3 linked regions of the Anolis sagrei genome follow. The protein of the gene in region 3 binds, or shares a complex with, the protein of the main gene of each other region. Links are inferred from orthologs where the notes say so. Each region holds a gene or a part of one and is shown on either strand. Other genes may lie near its edges.

Region 1 (8,346 bases), on a different chromosome or scaffold from region 3:
GACCCTAAACCAATGCCTGCTATCAGTAATGGACTGGATGAGGGCAAACAAATTGAAACTTACTTCAGACAAGATAGAAGTACTCCTGGTCAGTCGAAAGGCAGACCAAGAAATAGGGATTCAGCCTGTGCTGGATGGGTTACCATTTCCCTAAAGACACACGTTTGCAGTTTGGGGGTCCTCCTGGATTCAGCATTCAACCTGAAGACTTTGGTATCAGTGGTGGCTACGAGGGTGTTTGCACAATTAAAACTTGTGCACCAACTGTACTCATTCTTTGAAAAGCCAGATCTGGCCACAGTGGTACATGCCTTAGTTACATCCTGCCTGGATTACTGTAACATGCTCTACGTGGCAGTGCCTCTGAAGAGTGCTCGGAAACTTCAGCTGGTCCATAGAGCTGCAGCCAGGCTGCTAACTGAGGCTGGCTACAGGGAGCAGACAACCCCCCCCCCCACCCATTGCAGCAGCTTCACTGGCTACCAGTCTGTTTCCGGGAACAATTCAAAGTGCTGGTTATGACCTTTAAAGCTCTAGACAGTTCAGATCCAGGCTATTGGGCTGATCGCATCTCCTTGTATGAACCTGCCTGAGCCCTGAAATCTTCAGGAGAGGCCCTTCTCTTGGTCCCACCTCCATCTCAAGCATGATTGGTGGGTACAAGAGAGTGGACCTTTTCCGTGGCTACCCCTTGACTCTGGAAACCCCTCCCCAGAGAACCCTGCTGTCCTTCTGGCAGTAGACTAAAACCTTTTTATTCAGGAAGGCTTTTAAATATGAAGGTTTTTAAGATCAATTCAGGGGTGCTGTGGTTTTTAACTTTGAATTTATTTTAATAGTTTTTAACTGGGAATTTAAAAATACTGTTTATATTTAATCCTGTTTTAATGTTCGCATATCTGTATATTTTAAATGGTTTTGCAGATGCTTTTATGTTAAGCTGCTTTGAGTACCCTTGGGGGGAGATAAAGCAGGATAGAAATAAATTTAATAAATAAATAAATAAATAGTTAAATGCACACAAAATTATTAAAAACTATTAAAATACTTAAATGACCACACAGCATCTCCCGGCTCGTACTTAAAAGCTTTCTTCTTTAAAAGTTTGCAGGAATGAAAAGATGTTAGCCTGCTGCTGAAAGGACAACAGGGAGGGTGCTATTCTGGCTTCACTAAGGAGAAGGTTCCAGGGGCAGCCACTGAAAAGGCCCTCTCTGGCATCCTCTCCAATCGTGCCTGGGATGGTGGTTGGACTGAGAGAAGGGACAGTTGTTGGGGTGATCCGAGAATATTTTTTACTGCAGATCCAATTTTAACCCCAACTAGGCATTGCAAGGATGAAAAAGATGCACTCAGCCACCCTAGAAATACGTCTAGGAAGCATAGGTGGTGCTGGGGAAGGGAAGGGAGGAGAGAACACAGCATATTTTAAAGCACAGTGTACTTGTATAAAATCAGAGTAACCACAGAAAGGGGGCAATTCAGACCTGACCATTCTCTCAATCAAGACTTCATACTGTTGGACTACATACAAGACCCTGCATCGTAAACAATAACTTTGGATATAATTATATTTATTTAATTTATGTTATAAAATATTTCTACATTGGAATTCATTTAGGTGGTTACATCATGTACCCAAAGACTGCTACAAGGGGCAATCAATGAGATTTGGCTCCAGAAGCCCCCCATCCCATCCCAGCCCCGTTTATACCAAAACCTGTGGATGCTCAAGTCCCATTATACAGGATGGACTTGACGGACCCAATTTGAAATCACTATCACTATAAACGCAAGCTGCTCATGAATGAAACTCTTACCACTTGAAAGGTATAGTTTTTCAAATTATTACTGCAAGATTACTCTCCCAGTATACAAACAGAGCATAGCCTCAGTCATAAGGCATTTTGTGTTCCACTATTGTCCCAATATTGTCCATAAAGCAGGTGGAGGGCGCATAGTGTTTTTATAAAATGGTCAGTAAATCTTGATAACTTGATTACTCTTTAAACTGTTGGTAACTGTTTGCGTAATTGTAACATGTTGCCATTGTGAACTGCGCTGTTTTGAAATTGGGGCCGTTATTTTGAAGTACTCTGTATTCCATTGTATATAATGGGACTTGAGCATCCACAGACTTTGGTATATAACAGTATATACACTATGTATCCTTATATAAAATGATGAAGAACTCAAACATGTACCAGCCTGAAGATATGTGAAATGGCAGGAGGCTACAGCAAGGTATGGCTACACATCACTGTTAATGCCTGGTGGCAAAAAATAAAGTTTGTTTTGGGGATTTTTTCTCAATATTTTTGAGCCATGGTTGGCTAAATCTATGGATGCAAAATGCAAGGGTGTGTGTGCGCGTGCGCATGCTAAAAATGGTAGAGGACAGTTGTTTCCATTACAAAAATAAAGTTTTTTTTCTGCTACTAGATCAAAAATCAGTGTGCACATACATCTTTTTATGGCTCTCTTGTGTAACATATAGAATAAGTGTTAACTGGATAAAATAGGCATGGTAAAATATCTGTGTATTATTATTTTGTTCTTCTACTACTGTTGGATACAAACCAATTACCTGCATTTATCAGAAATGTGATTTTTAACAAAAATCAAGTATACAGTGGGAATGTGTTGATGCTAAGCAAAGAAGCTATTGCAGGAGGAAAACAGGAAACATTGTGCAACTGTTTCTTAGTTTAACCAATTAGTACAGCTGCACAAAGCAGTTCTATTACAAAATTGCATGTATTTGGAACAGTACTTGTACTGGTGATTTGAAATAAATTTTTTATAGAGCATATTGAGAAATGTGTATTTCATAAAGTACCAATTCTGATGTTTGCTTCAGAAGCCCTTATGTACTGGCATGCAGCACAACACATTAATATATGGCAATTATTTATCCCCAGAAAATACACAAGTCCATCAATATCTTTCCATAATGAAGAAACCTATGAAAAGGTGTCTGAACATTTGTAGCTGTGAATACAGAACTGCTATTCTGTATAGTTCTACTAATTAAAAGCTGTTAAAGGGCAACAGTACTTACCATTTGGGGTCTGACATTTAAATTTACTGATGATAATGTTTTGGACAAAATCTTAGTCGATGGTAGACACTGGCAGGAATGTATTTTCTAAAAAAAAGCAAAACGTGAACCTTATTTCCTTATACTCATAACCACATAACCACTATACAAATATTTTGTCTTCTAGATATACCAGTAGCTATATTATTCAGGAGACCATCACAGCAAATAAGAAACAAATTATTTATTTAATTTATATCTCAATTTTCCTTACTACATCTCAGTTTTCCTTCTTTCTAGGACTCAGGAAAAGTGATTTGGCATTGAAAAAAACCCAAGTTATCAGGTAGAAACTGTCTGAAGTAGATTTAATTCAGTGATTTGAAACATTGCATGTAGATTTTGGCTTCTACTTTCTCAGTAATGTCTGTTGAAATGCGAGTGATAAATAGAATCTAGTCGCAGTTACCCAATTCGCAGGGCCTAGGTTTGGAATTCAGAGCATGGTATTGAATGTAAGAATGGTATTCCTCTAACATTAAAGCCACACAGTGTCAAGGTATCAAGCCAGTAGATTTAAATGGGGTTTTTTTTGGTCAAGCACAACTGGATCACTATGTATTTCTATTAGAAAGATCGCCTTGTTGGAAAGACTGTGTGTCCCTCAGAATTAAACTTTTAATCCTCCAACCCCCTCCCCAAATTACACTGTGAGTTCTTTAGAACTAAAGTGTTCCAACTTTTTGGTGGTGATGGTTGATTTATAGTGATTTTTGATTTACCATATGCAAACATCAGTAGGTCTCTCCCCCCCACCCCCCCATGAGAATCTTAGGCACTGTTTTTTAGCCACATATGTTACAAGACCACAAGGGCCATCTAGTCCACTCCCTGGAATTGAGGAACACACATTCAATTCTTGTGTCAGCTTTTCTGCTTTTAAAAATTGATATGCTCAATGCTTATAGACACAGTGATGTGATACAGCATTTTCAGTTAGCATTTTTATTTTAACTCTGATCAGCAGCCTTTTTCGGAGTAAGTGGCTGTCATAAAGCAACAACAGGAGGCTTATTTATTATACATTATATAACTTTGTGAAATCTGGTTAAATTTCTTTTAGTGGGAACTGCCTGTTCAAATTTCCTGAGGGACACCTTTTGTATTGCTGCATCACGTACTTCATTAGCATAGGTAGGAGTGGTGCCTGAACTCCTTCCCTTTCACACACACACACACACAAAATAAATCAACCATCCCCACTAAGTGTTGTCAGGGCAAAAACTAGCAGTACAATACATTTTGCTTGACAATCTCCAGCTCATCTAAGATAAAAATACAACTGAACATCAGTAGCAAAAGTCACTGCTTTAGAACAAGTTTCATTCCATCTTTGTGGTTACGGGAAGCATCTGTCCATGTGTCCAAATGAATGCTCCAGTGAAAGCTTTGATACTGGGTCCAATTAAAAATTAAAAAGTGAAGTGTTACTTGGAAACAATTTAGTTAACTTATTTAGTACAAGAACTCTGCTGTTCAGGATATTTACTACTTTAAAATAAAAATAATGTATTTTATTAATTGTTATTATTTACTTCATTTTAATCCCGCCTTTCTCCCCCCAGAGACTTGTTTAACTGATAAGGCTTGATTTTTTTGACCATTTGACATCCTATGGTAGCTTATCAAACTGAATAAAATGTTGCAATTAGCTATGGCATCTTTAAATTTAAAAAAAGAATATATGAGAAATACCCTTTAATTTAAGAACTTATATTTGCAACAACTTACATAAACTTTGTATCAGAAATGCATTTAATTCATGAATCAAGTAAATACTTTATGGATCTAAGCACACTTGGCTTGCTTCCTGTAAGTGCACATTAGACCAAATGTACATTTCTGAACAGTAAAAGGAAAGGTTATTTTCTTGCCCATAAAAGTAAGCCAGCTTAATGGCAGTTGCAGCCGAAATGATTCAAGCATCAAATGGTGCCACCCACACTGAATCATAATAACCCATAAGGTAATGGAATGCTCTGCTGTGTTTATGAGCCAACAGTAACCAAGCTCCTAGGACAGAACCAACATTTTCAAATCACAAATAGCCAAGGAAAAAACCCCAGAATTAAGATGCTCAACACCATCCAGTAAACTGTTTCTTCTGCACATACTGATTGCTAGTAATGCTTTTTTCTTGTTTCCCTCTGAATTAGTGATTTTATGTGACAAAATGCTTTGTCAGCTCTAAAATTCTGGCTTTAACTATTTTGTTTTATTTTCCCTTCATGGAGCCACAGTCAGTACCTTTCATTCAAAACTAACACCCTAAGCTATCTGGAAAGGAAAACAGTAGATGTAGTTCAATTTGGAACTCCTATTCATGTGACTAATTAGAGTAACTTCATCCCTGCTCCTGTCCCAAGTATACTACAGTTTTTTCATAAACAACATTACAGGAACAATATATTTTGCAAACATTACACTCTTATTATATTCTGTTCTAAGCTGTTGGAAGTAAAAGGTCTCAATTCTGTTTTGTAAAATACTTACATTGCAAAGAAAACCCAAACTGGTCTTTCCTCTTGTCTAAAGAAGAATGCCTCTTACTGCATCAGCAACACATCAGCCTTTGTAGCCATTCAAAGGAAACTTGAGCTGGTGAGAGACATAACAAATCAAATGCAGAGCTATGCCATTTTTAAGAGTTGGTATCTAAAGACACCGGATCTGTCTGATCTTAGAAGCTAACTAGGGTCACCACTGATTAGTACTTGGGTGAGAAACTGCCAATAAATACAGTGTGCATATGCTCTATTTCAGAGGAAGGAATTGGAAAACCACCTCAGGTTATTCCTTCCCTAAGAAAACCCTGTGGTAATGCATGAAGTTGCACATACATACACATCTAGACACAAAATCAATGCTTTTGAAAAATGCCCTCAATACCAAATGTGAGTGGGTTTACATTCTTTGTTTCTCAAAATATTTTCAAGCACTGTGGGGGTGGAGGAATGAAAAGTGGGAGAACATTAATATCTTTGGATACTGTACTACTTTGGTCATCATGCAAAGTAGTGATGCTAATATGATTTTTTTAAAAACCCTGCAAGTGCAACAGGAGCTTCCTTTACTATTTCTGATACAGTCCTTCTCACTTTCAAAGGAACAAGCACTTTTAAAACTGAATGTACTGTGACAAAAATTCCAAATAAAGTACAATTTCCCCAAAAGTTTTCTATCCATAAACATATTAGTTCTTGGGATTTTGAGATAAAATATGGAACAGTGGAAAAGACCTGGCTTGACTGATGCACAAGAAAAAATGATCCCCAACTTTCAATTATATCAAAATTGGTGCATTTATTTGGGTGAGCGGAAGTGGTAACTGAATACCAACAGCTAAATAACAGGGCCCAAGCACAAAAGTTGGACTGAAATAAGGCGATTTCATGAACCTAAACTTTTCAGTTTATTTGTTCTGGAGATTATTCTATAAGGTGGAGAGCAACTTGATGTGAGTCTCGGCCGAGGGACAGGTATCACTTCTGTGACAACTTCCTCATCTCGAGGGACAGTCCAATAGGATGCCCTTATCGGTTCATATTCTGGAAGGCCAGCCCAGGATCCCTTTCCTTAAAGCATGTGTTTTTATAATGGAGAGTAAGTTGTTGTTGTCCCAGCCAACCCTAAGAGTGATCTCTTTCCCAGCCTTCCCACAAGTCTCAGAACCTAGTGAGGTCATTCCAGGGGTAATCCTACAACCAAAAAGGAGAGAGGTGCCAAGGTACCAACTAAATTTCCCCCCACAAATCATTATCTGCATTGAGAGGGATAGACTTATTTAGGACACCACCCAAAGCCCATTTTCCCATTCCATCAAGATGCAGTGCAGGTAGGTGAAAAAACCCTTGCTAAAGGGGAAGGGGTTTCCTATCCGGCCCATTATGCAGTGAGGGCAGAAGGATTGGTCAAGCAAAGGAGGGACAGGGTGTTAACCTGCTTATATGTAATTGGCATCTCCCCCTGTCACATATTGGGGGGCCAACGGGACTGCCTAATCTCATGTGATTAGAGCTGCCCTCTGATTTGTGGAGGAATTCAGTTGGTCCTTCCATCCCTATGTAACTGTGCTGCTGTGACCTCTCTTCTATGGAAGAGAGCAGTTCCAGTGTACTTCAGAGACCTAAAAAAAATTAAATATAACATGTGACACTAAGAATCTATTGGTGGCCAACGTACACACACACACATACGGATATATTATTTCAGACTGGTTTCAGACAATTTTTCATTTAGAGATGGATGTAGCAGCTCTTCAACAATAACAGGGACAAAAAGTACTTATCCGATAGGGCTTGGATCCCCTTGATTGTGCAAACATCTTAGTAAGCCCATTTAAGATTATGTTGTCAAACGAGTAATTCTGTTTTTTAAGTGTCTTGTAAAGATTTTTTTTCCCCCAGCATATGACTGAGGTCCAAGGAGTGACACCACAAGTGACCTACTGGGTGACACCAACCTTAGTGATGCCACTACTGGACCATGTCCTTCCTGGTTCATAAAAGTAGCCAGAGGGGGTTAGATGACTGGGTAAGAGGCATAGCTAATTTCCTCACTATGGCGAGGCAGCGCCACAGCCTGCTTTAAAGAGGTCTGGTAAGACCTTTACTCGAAAAAAAAAGACCCTACCATCTTGGAGAATGACTGATCAGTCTCCAATATTCTTTTCTTGAGCAAACTTATAGGCCTCTAGGTTCCAGGGATTCCAGAATGAGACAGATTACCGGTACATTTCAATCTGGCTTCTGGTCTGGTTATAGGACAGAAACTGTTTTGATAATCTTGATGAATCTTGATGACTAATGCAGGGCATTGGACTGGAGAAATGTGTCCCTATTTGTTCTGCCAAGCTCATCAGCAGTTTTCAATAAGATGGTATCCTTCTGAGTTGCTTCTGTGGGATGGAATTTGGAACCGCTGTTTTGCAACTGAGGGGAGAACTCAGAAATGATTATGGGGGTTCTTGTTCAACTACTTCCTATTAAGACTGTCCCATATGTTATTTAATATTTCTATAAAATTGTTGAGAGCTTATCCAGAGTTTTGAGGTTGAATGCAACCAGTATGCTAATGACACCCAACTTTATATCTCCTACCATCAAACCTCAAGGAAGATGAACCTCTGTTTGCAGTTAGTAGTGGATTGGATGGGAGCCAACAAACTGACCCTTAAACCAGACAAAACAGATGTGCTCCCAGTAAATCAGAAGGCAGATTAGGGAATAGGGATTCAACCTGTGATA
Region 2 (7,955 bases), on a different chromosome or scaffold from region 3:
AAAAAAACTACAAGAACCCAGTAATTCCGGCCATGAAAGCCTTCGACAATACAAGGAAATGTTTCTGTTGGCATATTCTGGGACTGTATTCTTGAACAGTCATCTCATTCCGGGGAGGGCGCAGATGAGCTCCCTCTGTCAGCTCCAGCTCCCCATGTGGGGACATGAGAGAAGCCTCCCACAAGGATGGCAAAACATCAAAAACACCTGGGCATCCCCCTGGGAAACGTCCTTGCAGACGGCCAACTCTCTCACACCAGAAGTAACTTGCAGTTTCTCAAATTGCTCCTGATACAAAAAAATACACATCTGATTCTTGCCAAATACTTGGGGGGGGGGGCTTCTTATATTATTTCTAATGGTAACCTTTAGTGCTGATTTGTAAAACTTCCCTTTATAGCAGAGCCTTTGTTTTGGTTTCACCAGTTGCTTAATGCTATTTCTGGCTCTGTCAAAACACACAACACCCATGATCAACAATCAAGGAGCAAATATGCTAACATCCAGTTCACTATGGAAAAAGGAAGGAAGACTGCCTTTTCTAGATGTCCTAGTCATCCGTAAACCAGATCAACAATTGGATCACACAGTTTACAGAAAACCCACACACAGAGATAGATATCTACATAAAAACTCCAACCATCACCCAAGTCAAAAAAGAAGCACCATTAAAGCCTTGACAGACAGTGCAAAAAGAATCTGTGAACCCCACCTCCTCCAAGATGAACTGAACCACCTCAACTGGGCTCTCCAGGCCAATGGATACTCCACCTCAGACATCAGGAGAGCTTCAAGACCAAGAACAAGCCACGAGAGTACGGTAAAGATGAAGATCCACCCAGAGGAAAAGTGTTCCTGCCATACATCAAGGGAACCACTGACCGCATAGGGAAGCTGATGAGAAAACACAACATACAAACTATCTACAAACCCACCAAGAAAATCAAACAAATGCTACGTTCAGCAAAGGACAAGAGGGATCCTCTCACCTCTGCAGGAGTCTACCATATACCATGCAGCTGTGGACAAGTCTACATAGGGACCACCAAACGCAGCGCCCAAACACGAATCAAGGAACACGAAAGGCACTGCAGACTACTCCAACCAGAGAAGTCAGCCATAGCAGAGCACCTGATGAACCAACCTGGATACAGCATATTATTTGAGAACACAAAAATGCTCGACCACTCTCACAACCACCATGTCAGACTACACAGAGAAGCCATTGAAATCCACAAACATGTGGACAATTTCAACAGAAAGGAAGAAACCATGAAAATGAACAAAATCTGGCTACCAGTATTAAAAAATTCTAAAATTGCAACAGCAAAACAGCAGGGAGAAAAACAGGCAGGGACATCTAATCACCTTTCAAGAAGAGTTTGCTCCAGGCACTGTCAGCCCATTGTATGCTAATCAAGGTGGTCAGTGGAAAGATTCACACCCAGCCCAACTTACAAAAGCCCCTTTGTCTCACCCTGGCCATTCCACAGATATATAAACCCCTTTTTTCCCATTTCCAGTAGACCTCACCTCTGAGGATGCTTGCCATAGATGCAGGCGAAACATCAGGAGAAATGCCTCTAGAACATGGCCATATAGCCCGAAAAAACCCACAAGAACTGAGTGATTCCAGCCATGAAAGCCTTCGACAATACATTAAATATGCTATTTGTTTGTATTGGCATCGTATCGGTGCCCAATGTAAGGCATTGAATTTTGCCATTATTTATGTGTAAACTGCTTCGAGTCCCCCCAAGGGTGAGAAAGGCGGTACATAAATACTGGAAATAAATAAATAATTAATAAATAATAAATTTCTGTCCCTGGGTTTTTTTTTGGTTGTTGTTGTGTCAGGAGCGACTTCAGAGACTGCAAGTTGCTTCTGGTGTGAGAGAATTGGCCGTCTGCAAGGACGTTGCCCAGGGGATGCCCAGATGATTTGATGTTTTTATCATCCTTGTGGGAGGCTTCTCTCATGTCCCTGCATAGGGAGCTGGAGCTGACAGAGGGAGCTCACCCTCATTTTCCCCGATTTGAACCTCTGACCTGTTGGTCTTCAGTCCTGCTGGCACAAGGGTTTAACCCACTGTGCCACGGGGGGGGGGGGGGGGTTAAAATCCTCAATTCACGTTTATGTGGCACCAATGCTATGGGAAGTGGAAGTAGCACGGAGAAATCAATAGAATGAGTACAGATAAAGAGGTTATCTCATATTACACTAGGTAACAAAATTTGGAAAAAAAAATCTGTCGGTCTTCAGTCCTGCCGGCACAGGGGTTTAACAGGGCTCTGTCCCGGTCAAAACTCATAACACCCACAATCAACAATCAAGGAGTGATTAACAAGTTTTGGAGCTATCAACAAGCATGTGTCCTATTTAAATGCCAAAATGAATGTATGGTTTCAGTTGATGTGTCAGATATGCTCCTGCAAAAACAACAGATTGTCCACAGGGAAAAATTACACGGTGTGCAGTATGGATTAGGCCTGGGCCAACTTGGGCCCTTCCTCCTTCCAGGTGTTTTGGACTCCAACTCCCACAATTCCTAACAGCCGGCAGTGTAAATACACAAGGCCTGGGCCAACTTGGGCCCTCCCTCCAGGTGTTTTGGACTCCAACTCCCACAATTCCTAACAGCCTACCGGCTGTTAGGAATTGTGGGAGTTGAAACACCTGGAGGGAGGGCCCAAGTTGGCCCAGGCCTTGTGTATTTCCCTACTGTTAGGAATTGTGGGAGTTGGAGTCCAAAACACCTGGAGGGAGGGAGGGCCCAAGTTGGCCCAGGCCTGGTGTATTTACCCTGTCCCGTAATGCAGTTGATATGAGGCACCTGTCACTCCAGGGCGCGTTTCCCGTCAGGCTTCTCCTCCGAGCACCAGGCCTTCCTTCGCCCTCAGGCTGCCGTTAAACCCTCGCGGCCAGAAGCGCAGCCCTCTCTCCCCCGCCTCCGCTCTCTCCTCCTCCTCCTCCTCTCCCTTCTCTCCTTCTCCCGGTTCCGTGTTTGTTCAAAATCACGCGCCCAGCGCCATTCCGCCGCATCCCATAATAGCTCGGCAGCGCCGCCGTCTTGGCAACGGCTTCGGCGTCATCACTCTTCTCCCGCCTTCTCCAAAAACACAGCCACTTCCGGGTTGAAAGCGTCACTGTGCGTGCGTGCGTGTACGCGCGCGCGCTCGAGAATGACGCAGAGTCCGCCCTCATTGGTTTCTGAGGCGACGGAGGGGGCGTGGTTATTTTTCCCTCACCGGAAGTGTAGAAAAGAAAAATGGCGGCGGCGGTGAGGCAGGAGTTGACGCAGCTCATGAGCTCCAGCGGCTCCCACAAGGATTTAGCCGGGAAGTAAGCGACGGCTTCTTGGTTTTCGATGAGGGAAGGCGGAGCGGGGCAGGAGAAGCTCGCAAAAAGGGAAGGGAAGGCATTGTATTGTCGAAGGCTTTCATGGCCGGAATCACTGGGTTGTTGTAGGTTTTTTCGGGCTATATGGCCATGGTCTAGAGGCATTCTCTCCTGATGTTTCGCCTGCATCTATGGCAAGCATCCTCAGAGGTAGTGAGGTCTGTTGGAACTAGGAAAAAGGGGTTTATATATCTGTGGAATGACCAGGGTGGGACAAAGGACTCTTGTCTGTTGCAGCTAGGTGTGAATGTTTCAGCTGACTACCTTGATTGGCATTTGATGGCCTGGAAGTGCCTGGAGCAATCTTTTGTTGAGAGGTGATTAGATGTCCCTGATTGTTTTCCTTCTGCTGTTTTGCTGTTTTAATTTTAGAGTTTTTAATTTGCTTGCCACAGATGCAGGCAAAACGTCAGGAAATAATGCCTCTAGAACATGGCCATATAGCCCCCAAAAAAACCTACAACAACTGAGTGATTCCAGCCATCCTCAGAGGTAGTGAGGTCAGACTACACAGAGAAGCCACTGAAATCCACAAGCATGTGGACAATTTCAACAAAAAGGAGGAAACCATGAAAATGAACAAAATCTGGCTCCCGGTACTAAAAAAAAACTCTAAAATTACAACGGCTAAACAACAGAGAGGAAACAAACAAGGACATCTAATCACCTCTCAACAAAAGATTGTCCCAGGCACTGTCAGGCCATGAAATGCTAATCAAGGTAGTCAGTTGAAACATTCACATTTAGCTCCCGCAGACAAGAGTTCTTTGTCCCACCCTGGTCATTCCACAGATATATAAACCCTTTTTCCTTGTTCCAACAGACCTCACTATCTCTGAGGATGCTTGCCATAGATGCAGGCGAAACGTCAGGAGAGAATGCCTCTAGACCATCGCCATATAGCCCGAAAAACCTACAACAACCCAGGGAAGGCATTGATTCAGTGGTTTAAACACGGCCTGGCCCGTCCCTTGCCCATCTTCACTGTAGAATGAATAATAATAATCTATATAAATAAAAATGTAATGTTCGTTTGTGCTATCCATAGAACTCACAAACCACTGGGGCAACTGGCACCAAATTTGGACACGATACACCTAACAACCCAATTTATGTCCTTCATTCAAAAAATTGATTTTGTCATTTGGGAGTTGTAGTTGCTGGGACTTGTAGTTCACCTACAATCAAAGTACATTCCGAACCCCGTCAACGATGGAATTGAACCAAACTTGGCACGCAGTTCTCCCATGACCAACAGAAAATACTGGAAGGGTTTGGTGGGCAGTGTCCTTTGGTTTTGGAGTTGTAGTTCACCTACATCCAAAGATCACTGTGGACTCAAACAATGATGGATCTGGACCAAACTCTACAAGAATACTCAATATGCCGAAATGTGAACACTGGTGGAGTTTGGGGGAAATAGAATCTTGACACTTGGGAGTTGTAGTTGCTGGGATTTATAGTTCACCTACAATCAAGGAGCGTTCTGAACCCCACCAATGATAGAATTGGGCCAAAGTTCCCACACAGAACCTCCATGATCACAGAAATTACTGTGTTTTCTGATAGTCTTTGGCAACCCCTCTGACACAGCTTCGCAACCCCCCCAGGGGTCCTGACCCCCAGGTTGAGAAACACTGCTCTAGAACATGGCCATATAGCCCGAAAAAACCCAAACCCTGTAAAAGTTAGACAGTCATACACACATCTCAACATGTGTGTGTGCAATCTCACTGAGACCCCCTCCAAAAAAAATACTGCTTTATTGGGTCCCTTTTCATCTTCCAGGTTCTCTAATTCACTATGGATTCATCACATTTTGTCAACATCCTACCTCCACTTAGCCAAGCAAACATTTTCCTTCTCTTCTATTAATTATTTTTACATCCCCAGCTGTTAATGCCCTTTGCATGTGGTGTTATCGTTTCCCCTTCTCCTTGCTCTTGAACCTATTATCCTTGAGAGTTTTATGTACAGCAAACCATCTTTCAAAACAATTTCTCCCACTGCAACCAAAAGGCTTTCTCTAAGACAATTACTAAGTTGAACGTGTTTATAAATTGAGCAAAATCTTGCTTTTCAGTGTCCTTCAATTATTCCAATTATTCTTCAATTATTATTAAAATCCCAGCTACATTCCCTACCCTGAAGGAGGTTGCATCTCTACTCATCAGGATCAGTATGTGTCACCTTCTCAAATGCCACCGCTTGCCCTTTATTAAACCTATGGTACTAAACATAGTATTCCCAACATAGTATTCCCATGAGGCATCACCATCTGATCTGTGGAGACTTTCTAGGAAATAAACAGGTGCAGTCAGTGGACACAAATATGGTGTCACCTATAGCACTTTGCTGTTGTTCCTCCGCATCAGATCCTACTTACTTACTTAGGTTATCCCTCATTGTCCGAGTATTTTGGCCTTTCAATTGTAGTGTCTTGGTGGTGGATACATATAATAATAATAATAATAATAATAATAATAATAAACTTTATTTCTACCCCGCTACCATCTCCCCGATGGGGACTCGGAGCGGCTTACATGGGGGCAAGCCTGGACAACATAATACAGCAATAAAATCAAAACATATACAATGGACAGCAACAACATTATCAAAATGATATTAAAATAATAATGTTAACCCCTCAGCTGAACAGTTGTTAGGATGTAATCTCCATCTCAGATGGAATTTACTGGTTGATTTACCCTGTTTAATGATTAAATTATTGATACATTTGTACTCCTGCCTTGTCTATACAGTGAGCAGTAGGAAATAGGAGTAAGATACTGGTTTTCAAAGTGTTAAAAATAACTATTTTCTTTCCAGCAAGTCATGTTTTTAACACTCCTGAAAATCAACAATCAAGATATTCAAATAGCACAGTGAGAAATAAGGTGACAGTTTTGTGGTTATGGCCTTTGCGTTTTGAATGTGACAGGAAGTATGTGTGACATCCAAAATATAGACATGGTGGCCACAGCACTGTCACTTTCTTTTCCTCATAAACAGTTTCACCATTTTTGCTTGATAAAGAGTTCTGTCAAGCTTTGAAAGCAAGTGGAATGTACTTTGTGCCTTTCCGTTGGCCTAGTAAAGGTATCAGCACAGAAGAGAGTTTTGTGCTTTGTTGTGTTTTTTTTTAAGGACAAATTCCTTAAACCTAAGTTATGTTTTGACTGTTTACATTGACTACTACTCTCATTCCACCCAAATGTAAAACTCATTCTGAAAATAAGCCAGTATTGTTAATTGTGACTGATTTATTTTTGACATTTTCTGGCAGATATCGGCAGATATTGGAAAAAGCAATTCAGCTCTCTGGAGTCGAACAGTTAGAGGCATTAAAAGCCTTCGTAGAAGCAAGTGAGTTTCAACATTGTTTTTCAGATGTTGTTAAATGCCAGAGTTATAAATGCCGAACTGCAGGACTTGCATTTGTGTTTGTGTGTAGGTAAACAGTTTTTCATTTGCCTGTTTTTGTGTCATGGAATTGCTAATGATGCTTACTCTTGTTAATCCAGGAGTACTTGGACCACATGAGACAAATGAGTTGAAAATTTGACAATGTACCACTGTTGGTGTAATATACAAAAGCTCATTTCATTTAGTTTGGCTGTCTGAAAATTAAGTTTGCAATCAACAAAATATAATTTAGTCTTGATAACAGCATGATTATGGTCCAAATGACAAGCCTGATTTAAAGGTATGTTTTTTTAAAAATTTCTCATTGTGTCCCTTATTTAGTGGTGAATGAAAATGTCAGTTTAGTGATTTCGCGCCAGTTGCTGACAGACTTTTGTACCCATCTCCCGAGCCTTCCTGACGGCACAGCTAAAGAAATCTACCACTTCACGTTGGAAAAGATCCAGCCTCGTGTAATTTCATTTGAAGAGCAGGTAAGAACAAGAAATCAGGGGCTCTTGATTTCTAAAAGGCTACTCTGTAGGGTTTTTGCCTAGATTTGTACAAGCGCAATGGGTTAAATCCTTGCACTGCTGAATCTGCTGACCTGAAGGTTGGCGGTTTGAAGCCAGGAGTCAGGGTGAGCTCCTGCTGTTAGCCCTAGCTCCAGCCAACCTAGCAGTTTGAAAATAGGCAAATGTGAGTAGATCAATAGATACCGCTTCGGTGGGAAGGTAATAAAGGTGCTCAAGCAACCACGCCAGGAACATGACCAGGAGGTGTCTACGGACAACATCTCCTTGGCTTGAGAATGGAAAAGGTGTACCTCACCATGGCCAGAGTTGAGCACTGCCTCCAGAAGCCAGAGATGAAAGGGAAAGCCTTAACGTATGTTCTGTGTATTTGTGTTCTCTTGTTATTTCACTGCATTAAAGGCACTGAATGTTAGCCTATCTGTGTATGTTGTAAACCACTCTGAGTCCCCTCGGGGAGATAGAGTGGAATATCAGTTAATTATTTATGCTAAAGTGTTGATTCCCCTCTTAAATGATTTGAACACACGTTGTAATTGATGTGAGGACAGATGCTTTGAAGCTTTTAAACCAGAACTGCAGTAGAAACTGTTTAATACAGCAAACACATGCTGACT
Region 3 (8,110 bases):
CTTTAAGGTTTGTATAGAAGAGGGGATCCAATAACAACAACAGCAGGGCACCTTTTCCTTTAAGGTTCTATAGAAGAGAGAATTTAATAATAACAGTTAACAACAAGAGGGCTGCTGTTCCTTTATGGCTTGTGTAGAAGAGGGGAATTAACAATAATAACAATAACAACAGGACTCCTGCTCCTTTAAGGTTTATATAGAAGAGGGGATCCAATAACAACAACAGGGCCCCTGTTCCTTTAAGGTCTGCATAGAAATGCGAATTTAAAATTAATAATAACAATAACAATAAGACTCCTGTTCCTTTAAAGTTTGTATAGAAGAGAGTATTCCATAATAACAACAGAGATCCTGTTCCTTTAAGGTTTGTATAGAAGAGGGGAGTTAATAATAACAATAATAACAACAGGGCCATGTTCCTTACAGGTTTGTATAGAAGAGGGGATCCAATATCCACAACGAAAGGGCTTCTATTCCTTTAAGGTTTGTATGGATGAGGGAATTTAATAATAACTAGCCATCCCCTGCCATGCATTGCTGTGGCCCGGTCTGTGTATATGTGTATATGTGTGTGTATATATTTTTGTATATATGTGTGTTTGCGTATATATATATATATATATATGTGTGTGTGTGTGTGTGTGTGTGTATTTGTGTGTTTATATGTGTGCATGTATATGTGCATGTGTGTATATGTGTATATTTGTGCATATATATACATGTGTGTGTATGAATGTATACATGTATATATGTATATGAGTGTATGTGTATATGTATATATGGTGTATTTTGGGGGTTTTTAAGTCTGTTCGCTGGGGTTTTGTGCGCGCGCGTGTGTTTATGGGTGATGGACACTCATTGGACTGTTAGGTGTATTGTGTCCAAATTTCGTGTCAATTCATCCAGTGGTTTTTGAGTTCTGTTAACCCCACAAATGAACATTACATTTTTATTAATATAGATAATAATAATAACAATAATAACAGGACTCCTGTTCCTTAAAGGTTTGTACAGAAGAAGGGATCCAATATGATCAACAACAGTGCTTTTGCTCCTTTAAGGTTTGTATAGAAAAAGGGATCCAATATCAACACCACCACCACCAAGTCTGTATGGAAGAGGGAATTTAATAATAAAAAATAACAACAGGACTACTGTTTTTTAAGGTTTGTATAAAAGAGGAGATCCAATATCAACAATAACAGGCACCCGTTCCTTACAGGTTTGTATAGAAGAGGGGAGATAATAATTATAATAACAATAATAACAGGACTCCTATTCCTTTAAGTCAGTGTTTCTCAAGCTTCCTAATGCTGTGACCCCTTAATACACTTCCTCATGTTGTGTTGACCCCCAACCATAACATTATTTTCGTTGCTACTTCATAACTGTGATGTTGCTCCTGTTATGAACCGCAATGTAAATATCTGATATGCAGGATGCATTTTCATTCCCTGGACCCAATTTGGAACAAATACCTGATACATCCACATTTGAATACTGGTGGGATGGGGGGTGGATGGGTTAATTTGTTATTTTGGAGTTGTAGTTGCTGGGATTTATAGTTCACCTACAATCACAGAGTATTCTGAACTCCACCAAAGATGGAATTGAACCAGACTTGGCACACAGAACTCCCCTGACCCAATTTTGAATACTGGTGGGGTTGTGAGGGTGATTGATTTTGTCATTTGGGAGTTGTAGTTGCTGGGATTTTTTCACCTACAATCAAAGAGCATTTTGAACTCCACCAACAATGGAACTGCACACAGAACTCTCATGGCCAACAGAAAATACTGGGTTTGTTGGGCATTGACCTTGAGTTTTGGGAGTTGCAGTTCACCTACATCCAGAGAGCACTGTGGACTCAAACAATGATGGATCTGGACCAAACTTGGTACAAATACTCAATATGCCCAAATGTGAATAGTGGTGAGGTTTGGGGAAAATAATATATTGTCGAAGGCTTTCATGGCTGGAATCACTAGGTTCTTGTGGGTTTTTTCGGGCTATAGAGCCATGTTCTAGAGGCATTTCTTCTGACGTTTCGCCTGCGCCCAGACGCGCATCAAGGAACATGAAAGTCACTGCAGACTACTTCAACCAGAGAAGTCAGCCATAGCAGAGCACCTGATGAATCAGCCTGGACACAGCATATTATTTGAGAACACAGAAATGCTGGACCACCCTCACAACCACCATGTCAGACTACACAGAGAAGCCACTGAAATACACAAGCATGTGGACAATTTCAACAGAAAGGAAGAGACCATGAAAATGAACAAAATCTGGCTACCACTATTATAAAAAACTCTAAAATTACAACAGCAAAACAACAGAGAGGAAACAACCAGGCACATCTTAACACCTCCCAGCAAGAGATTTTCCCAGGCTCAGGCAGGCCTTCAAATGCTAATGAAGGTGATCAGCTGAAACATTCACACCTAACTGCAGCAGGGAAGAGCTCTTTGCCCCACCCCAGCCGTTCCACAGATATATAAACCCATTGTCCTAATTCCAACAGACCTCACTACCTCTGAGGATGCTTGCCATAGATGCAGGCGAAACGTCAGGAGAAATGCCTCTAGAACATGGCCATATAGCCCGAAAAAACCCACAAGAACCTAATAGGACGACTGTTCTTTAAAGGTTTGTATAAAAGAGGAGATCCAATATCAACAATAACAGGCTTACAGGTACTGTATACAGGTTTGTATAGAAGAGGGGAGATAATAATAACAATAATAACAAGAATGAGATAACACCTTAGGACCCTGGATGGAAGTTGATGTAGACCCATCTTAATAGGACGACTGACCACTATAGTGTTTACATATAGTGTTTTTGTAATCTGTGATATATGGTATTTTAATGAGTGTTTGTTTTTATGGCTGGAAACCGGGCTGAGTCCCTCAACGAGGTTGAGAAGCTCGGTATAGAAAACTGTGAAATAAATAAACAAACAATAATAATAATAATAATGACTTAAAGGACTCCTATTCCTTTAAGTTTTGTATGGAAGAGAGGGTCTAATGTCAATCACAACAGACCTCCCTCAACCAGTCTGGCCCCGCCCCCTGGCACAAGCCCCGCCCCATTAAGGAAGGCCCCGCCCTTCTGTCACAAGCCCCGCCCCATTAAGGAAGGCCCCGCCCCTCTGGCACAAGCCCCGCCCCCTCTCCGAGAAGCCCCTCCCACCTCGAGAGTGTAGTTCCTCCTCATGCCCTGGAAGCTGAGCCAGGCCTCGGCCCGGGCCCTCTCGTCCATGTTGAGGCTGCAGCAGAGCTCCTCGTAGCGCTGCCGGGTGTCTCCGTCGTCGTCCTCCGCCTCTTCCTCCTCCTCATCCTCCTCCGGGCTGCCTTTCCCTTCCTCCTCCTCCTCGGGCGCCTCCGCCGCTCCCTCGCCGCCTCCCCCTCCGTCGTCTCCGCCGCCCAACATGGTGTTGACTGAGGGGCGTCGTGAGGGGATGGCGCTCGCGCACTGCCGCTCACCACGCATGCGCCGCTGGAAGGGAGGGATTGTTTTTTTCCTTCTTCCTCCGCGTTCGAATCTAAACACCTCACCCCTCCCGTCCTCTGCGCTGATTGGGTGCCAGGGGTAGAACTCCCGCCAATCAGCGCGCTGCTTGTGCGCAGGCGCGCCTGTGGGGGCTTTTAAAAAATAAATGCCGTCACTTTTGCTGCGGACTACATTTCCCACAAAGCTTCGCGCTCCCGGATGAAAACAGTAGTGCAGTGATTCTCAACCTGGGGGTCGGGACCCCTGTGGGGGTCACGAGAGGGTGTCAGAGGGATCGCCAAAGACCATCAGAAAACATAGTATTTTTTGTTGGTCATGGGGGTTCTGTGTGGGAATTTTGGTCCAATTCTATCACTGGTGAGGTTCAGAATGCTATTTCATTGTGGGTGAACTATACATCCCAGCAACTACAACTCCCAAATGCTGAGGTCTATTTTCCCCAAACTCCACTAGTGTTCACATTTGGGGATATTGAGTATTTGTGCCAAGTTTAGTCCAGATCCATCATTGTTTTTGGCCACAGTACTCTCTGGATGTAGGTGAACTACAACTCCAAAAATTCAAGGTCAATGTCCACCAGACCCTTCCAGTATTTCCTCTTGGTCATGGGAGTTCAGTGTGCGAAGTTTGGTTCAATTCCATCGTTGGTGAACTTCAGAATACTCTTTGATTGTAGGTGAACTATACATCCCAGCAACTACAACTACCAAATGACAAAATCATTCCCCCCAACCCCACCAGTATTCAAATTTGGGCGTATTGGGTATTTGGGCCATATTTGGTCCAGTGAATGAAAATCCATCCTGCATATCTGATATTTACATAACGATTCATAACAGTAGCAAAATTACAGTTATGAAGTAGCAATGAAAATAATGTTATGGTTGGGGGTCACCACAACATGAGGAACTATACTAAGGGGTCGCGGCATTAGGAAGGTTGAGAACCACTGCAGTAGTGGGAGGTTGTTGTAGGTTTTCCAGGCTATATGGCCATGTTCTAGAGCAGTGGTTCTCAACTTTCCTAATGCCGCGACCCCTTAGTACAGGTCCTCATGTTGTGGTGACCCCCCAACCATAACGTTATTTTCGTTGCTATTTCATAACTGTAATTTTGCTACTGTTATGAATTGTAATGTAAATATCTGATATGCAGAAAGGATGTATTTTTAGTCACTGGACCAAATTTGGCACAAATACCCGATACGCCCAAAATTTGAATACTGATGGGGTTGGGGGTGATTGATTTTGTCATTTGGTAATGCTGGAGTTGCTGGGATTTATAGTTCACCATAAATCAAAGAGCCTTCTGAACTCCATCAATGATGGAATTGAATCAAACATGGCACACAGAATTCCCATGACCAAGAGAAAACACTGGGAAGGTCTGGTGGACATTGACCTTGAGTTTTTGGAGTTGTAGTTCACCTACATCCAGTGAACACTGTGGACTCAAGCAATGATGGATCTGGATCAAACTTGGCACAAATACGCAATATGCCCAAATGTGAACACTGGTAGAGTTTGGAGAAAATAGACCTTGCCATTTGGGAGTTGTAGTTGTTGGAATTTATAGTTCACCAACAATGAAATAGCATTCTGAACCCCACCAATGATAGAATTGGACCAAACTTTCCACACAGAACCCCCATGCCCAACAGAAAATACTATGTTTTCTGATGGTCTTTGGTGACCCCTCTGACACCCCCTTGCGACCCCCACAGGGGTCCCGACCCCCAGGTTGAGAAACACTGTTCTAGAGGCATTTTCTCCTGACGTTTCGCCTGCATCTATGGCAAGCATCCTCAGAGGTAGTGAGGTCTGTTGGAAGTAGGAAAATGGGTTCATATATCTGTGGAATGACCAGGGTGGGACAAAGGACTCTTGTCTGTTGGAGCTAGGTGGGAATGTTTCAACTGGCCACCTTGATTACCATTTAATGGCTTGGAAGTGCCTGGGGGAATCTTTCTTTGAGAGGTGATTTGATGTTTAGAGTGTTTAGAGTGGCTTGTAGGTCTTCTGAATGCACACAGACAACGTCATCAGCATACTGTAGTTCTATAAGAGATGTTGTTGTAACCTTGTTTTTGGCTTTCAGTCTGCTGAGGTTAAATAGCTTGCCATCTGTTTGATAGATAATTTCCACAGTAACAGTCAGAACTTATCATGGAACAACAGACTGGTACAAGATTGGGAAAGGAGTACGGCAGGGTTGTATACTCCCACCCAACCTATTCAACTTGTATGCAGAACACATCATGCAATGTGCGGGGCTTGACGAATGCAAGGCTGGGGTGAAAATTGCTGGAAGAAACATTAACAACCTCAGATATGCAGATGACACCACTCTGATGGCCGAAAGCGAGGAGGAGCTGAGGAGCCTTCTAATCAAGGTGAAAGAAGAAAGCGCAAAAGCCGGGTTGCAGCTAAACATCAAAAAAACCAAGATTATGGCAACAAGAATGATTGACAACTGGAAAATAGAGGGAGAAAATGTGGAGGCCGTGACAGACTTTATAGTTCTAGGTGCAAAAAAAATCAAAAGATGTTTATATCTTGGGAGGAGAGCAATGACCAATCTCGATAAAATAGTGAAGAGTAGAGTAGAGACATCACACTGGCAACCAAGATCCGCATAGTTAAAAGCAATGGTATTCCATGTAGTAACCTACGGATGTGAGAGCTGGACCATAAGGAAGGCTGAGCGAAGGAAGATAAGACACTTTTGAACTGTGGTGCTGGAGGAAAGTTCTGAGAGTGCCTTGGACCACGAGAAGATCCAACCAGTCCAGGAAATAAAGCCCGGCTGCTCATTGGAGGGAAGGAGATTAGAGGCAAAGATGAAGTACTATGGCCACATCATGAGAAGACAGGAAAGCTTGAAGATAATGATGCTGGGGAAAATGGAAGGAAAAAGAAAGAGGGGCCGGCCAAAGACAAGATGGATGGATGGATGGTATCCTTGAAGTGACCGACTTGACTTTGTAGGAGTTGGGGGTGATGGCGGCTGACGGAGCTCTAGCGTGGGCTGGTCCACGAGGTCACAAAGAGTCGGAAGTGATTCAATGAATAAACAACAACAGGCCCAGAAGGATGGGGCTTCTGGGAGTTGAAGTCCAAAAACACCAATCAGGCCTTAAATCTCTCTATAAAAAGCCAAAGTGTCTTGGTGTTGCTTGGTTTGTACCACAAAGGCTCCTCCAGGGCTTGATGCATCAGGACCAAACTTGGCACACATTGCCTTCATGATCCAACCTAAAAATACTTGAGAGGTTTGAACTGAAAGAACCACTCTTTTCAGATCCAGAGCAGAGAAAGAAAGGAACAAAGCAGATTGGCTGTGGCTCTGTGAAGTGGTTCTCTATCAGGTGACTGGGGAATAAAGGAAGTGAAGGAGACTGGCTTTTGCTAGATGATGTGAATGCGGGAGAAGGAAAAGGAAAAGAGGAAGGGAAGAAATAAGTCACAGGAAGAGAAAAGGAAAGGATGAAGACAGGAAAAGATTGAAGAAAGAAAAGGGAAGAGGAAGAAAGTGAAGAAAGTAAAAGAAAGGAAGGAAAGGGACACAGGAAGGGAGTGAAGAAAGAAAAAGAAGGAAAGAGGAAGGAAGGAAAGAAACAGGAAGGGAGTGAAGAAGGAAAAAAGGGAAGAGAAAGGAAGAAAATTGACACAGGAAGGGAGTGAAGAAAAAAAAAGAAGAGGAAGGAAAGAAAAAAGGGACACAGGAAGAGTGTGTATAGAAAAAAGAAGGGAAGCAGAAGAAAGGAAGAAAAGAAAAGGGACACAGGAAGGGAGCGAAGAAGAAAAAAGGAAGAAAAGAAAAGGGACATAGGAAGGGAGTGAAGAAGGAAAAAGGGAAGCAGAAGGAAGATCATGACAGGGAGTGCAGAAAGAATGAAGGGAAGAGGAAGGAAGGAAAGACGGATATAGGAAGGGAGCAGAAAGGAGACAGGAAAAGATTGAAGAGAGAGAAAAAGGAAGAGAAGAAATAAGGAAGAGAAGAAATAAGGAAGAGAAAAAAAGGAAGAGAAGAAATAAGAGAAGAAATAATAAGTTGTATGAGGGATATCAAGGGAAGAAGGAAAGAAAAGAGGGAAGTCTATGAACAAATCGAGGAAGGAAAGAAACATTGAAAATGCATACTGGGAAGGTTAAGTGACATAGTCCTCACACACTTGGAGGTTGCAATAGACTGGAACACTACTGTTATTTTCGGTAATAAACTTTTGGCACTCAAGCATTGTAAGGGCTTGGACTGGATGGCCCTTGAGGTCTCCTCCAACTCTTCGATTCCATGAATAAATTCCCCAAATAGTGAATGGCTTCAGGAATCAACTGCTTTGCAAATCCGTACAACTGAACTTTGTAATGTACTGAGGCCAACATCATGGGTTGTCAAAGAATATGTTTAATAAAAAATAATTAAACTTCCATTTGCTCTATAGAACATCATAGAAAGTAATTCAATAAATTACAAAGGACTCTTAAGACGCTTGTTCAACTACAAGAAAGCAAAATCCGGACTACACAGAACACAACTGGCAAATATTGCAAAACGTTCAAAAGAAAAGAAACGGGACCAGGACAGACCA

Evidence for each region. The genes of interacting proteins can lie anywhere in the genome.
Region 1: RBL2 (region 3) and TFDP2 share a complex: the UniProt entries of both Homo sapiens proteins name them as parts of the DREAM complex. The link is inferred for Anolis sagrei from reciprocal best matches to the Homo sapiens genes RBL2 and TFDP2.
Region 2: RBL2 (region 3) and LIN54 share a complex: the UniProt entries of both Homo sapiens proteins name them as parts of the DREAM complex. The link is inferred for Anolis sagrei from reciprocal best matches to the Homo sapiens genes RBL2 and LIN54.

Annotation. Positions count from the first base shown.
Region 1 is NC_090023.1:236,981,588-236,989,933, forward strand, and holds the start of TFDP2 (transcription factor Dp-2), read right to left. Parts: upstream 3,137-8,346; 5' UTR 3,065-3,136; coding exon 3,062-3,064; intron 1-3,061. UniProt on the Homo sapiens protein: Can stimulate E2F-dependent transcription.
Region 2 is NC_090025.1:17,418,985-17,426,939, forward strand, and holds the start of LIN54 (protein lin-54 homolog), read right to left. Parts: upstream 3,137-7,955; 5' UTR 2,804-3,136; intron 1-2,803. Other genes in the region: COPS4 (COP9 signalosome complex subunit 4), read left to right, coding at 3,270-3,343, 6,687-6,766, 7,148-7,299. UniProt on the Homo sapiens protein: Component of the DREAM complex, a multiprotein complex that can both act as a transcription activator or repressor depending on the context. In G0 phase, the complex binds to more than 800 promoters and is required for repression of E2F target genes.
Region 3 is NC_090028.1:34,141,483-34,149,592, reverse strand, and holds the start of RBL2 (retinoblastoma-like protein 2), read right to left. Parts: upstream 3,517-8,110; 5' UTR 3,499-3,516; coding exon 3,199-3,498; intron 1-3,198. UniProt on the Homo sapiens protein: Key regulator of entry into cell division. Directly involved in heterochromatin formation by maintaining overall chromatin structure and, in particular, that of constitutive heterochromatin by stabilizing histone methylation.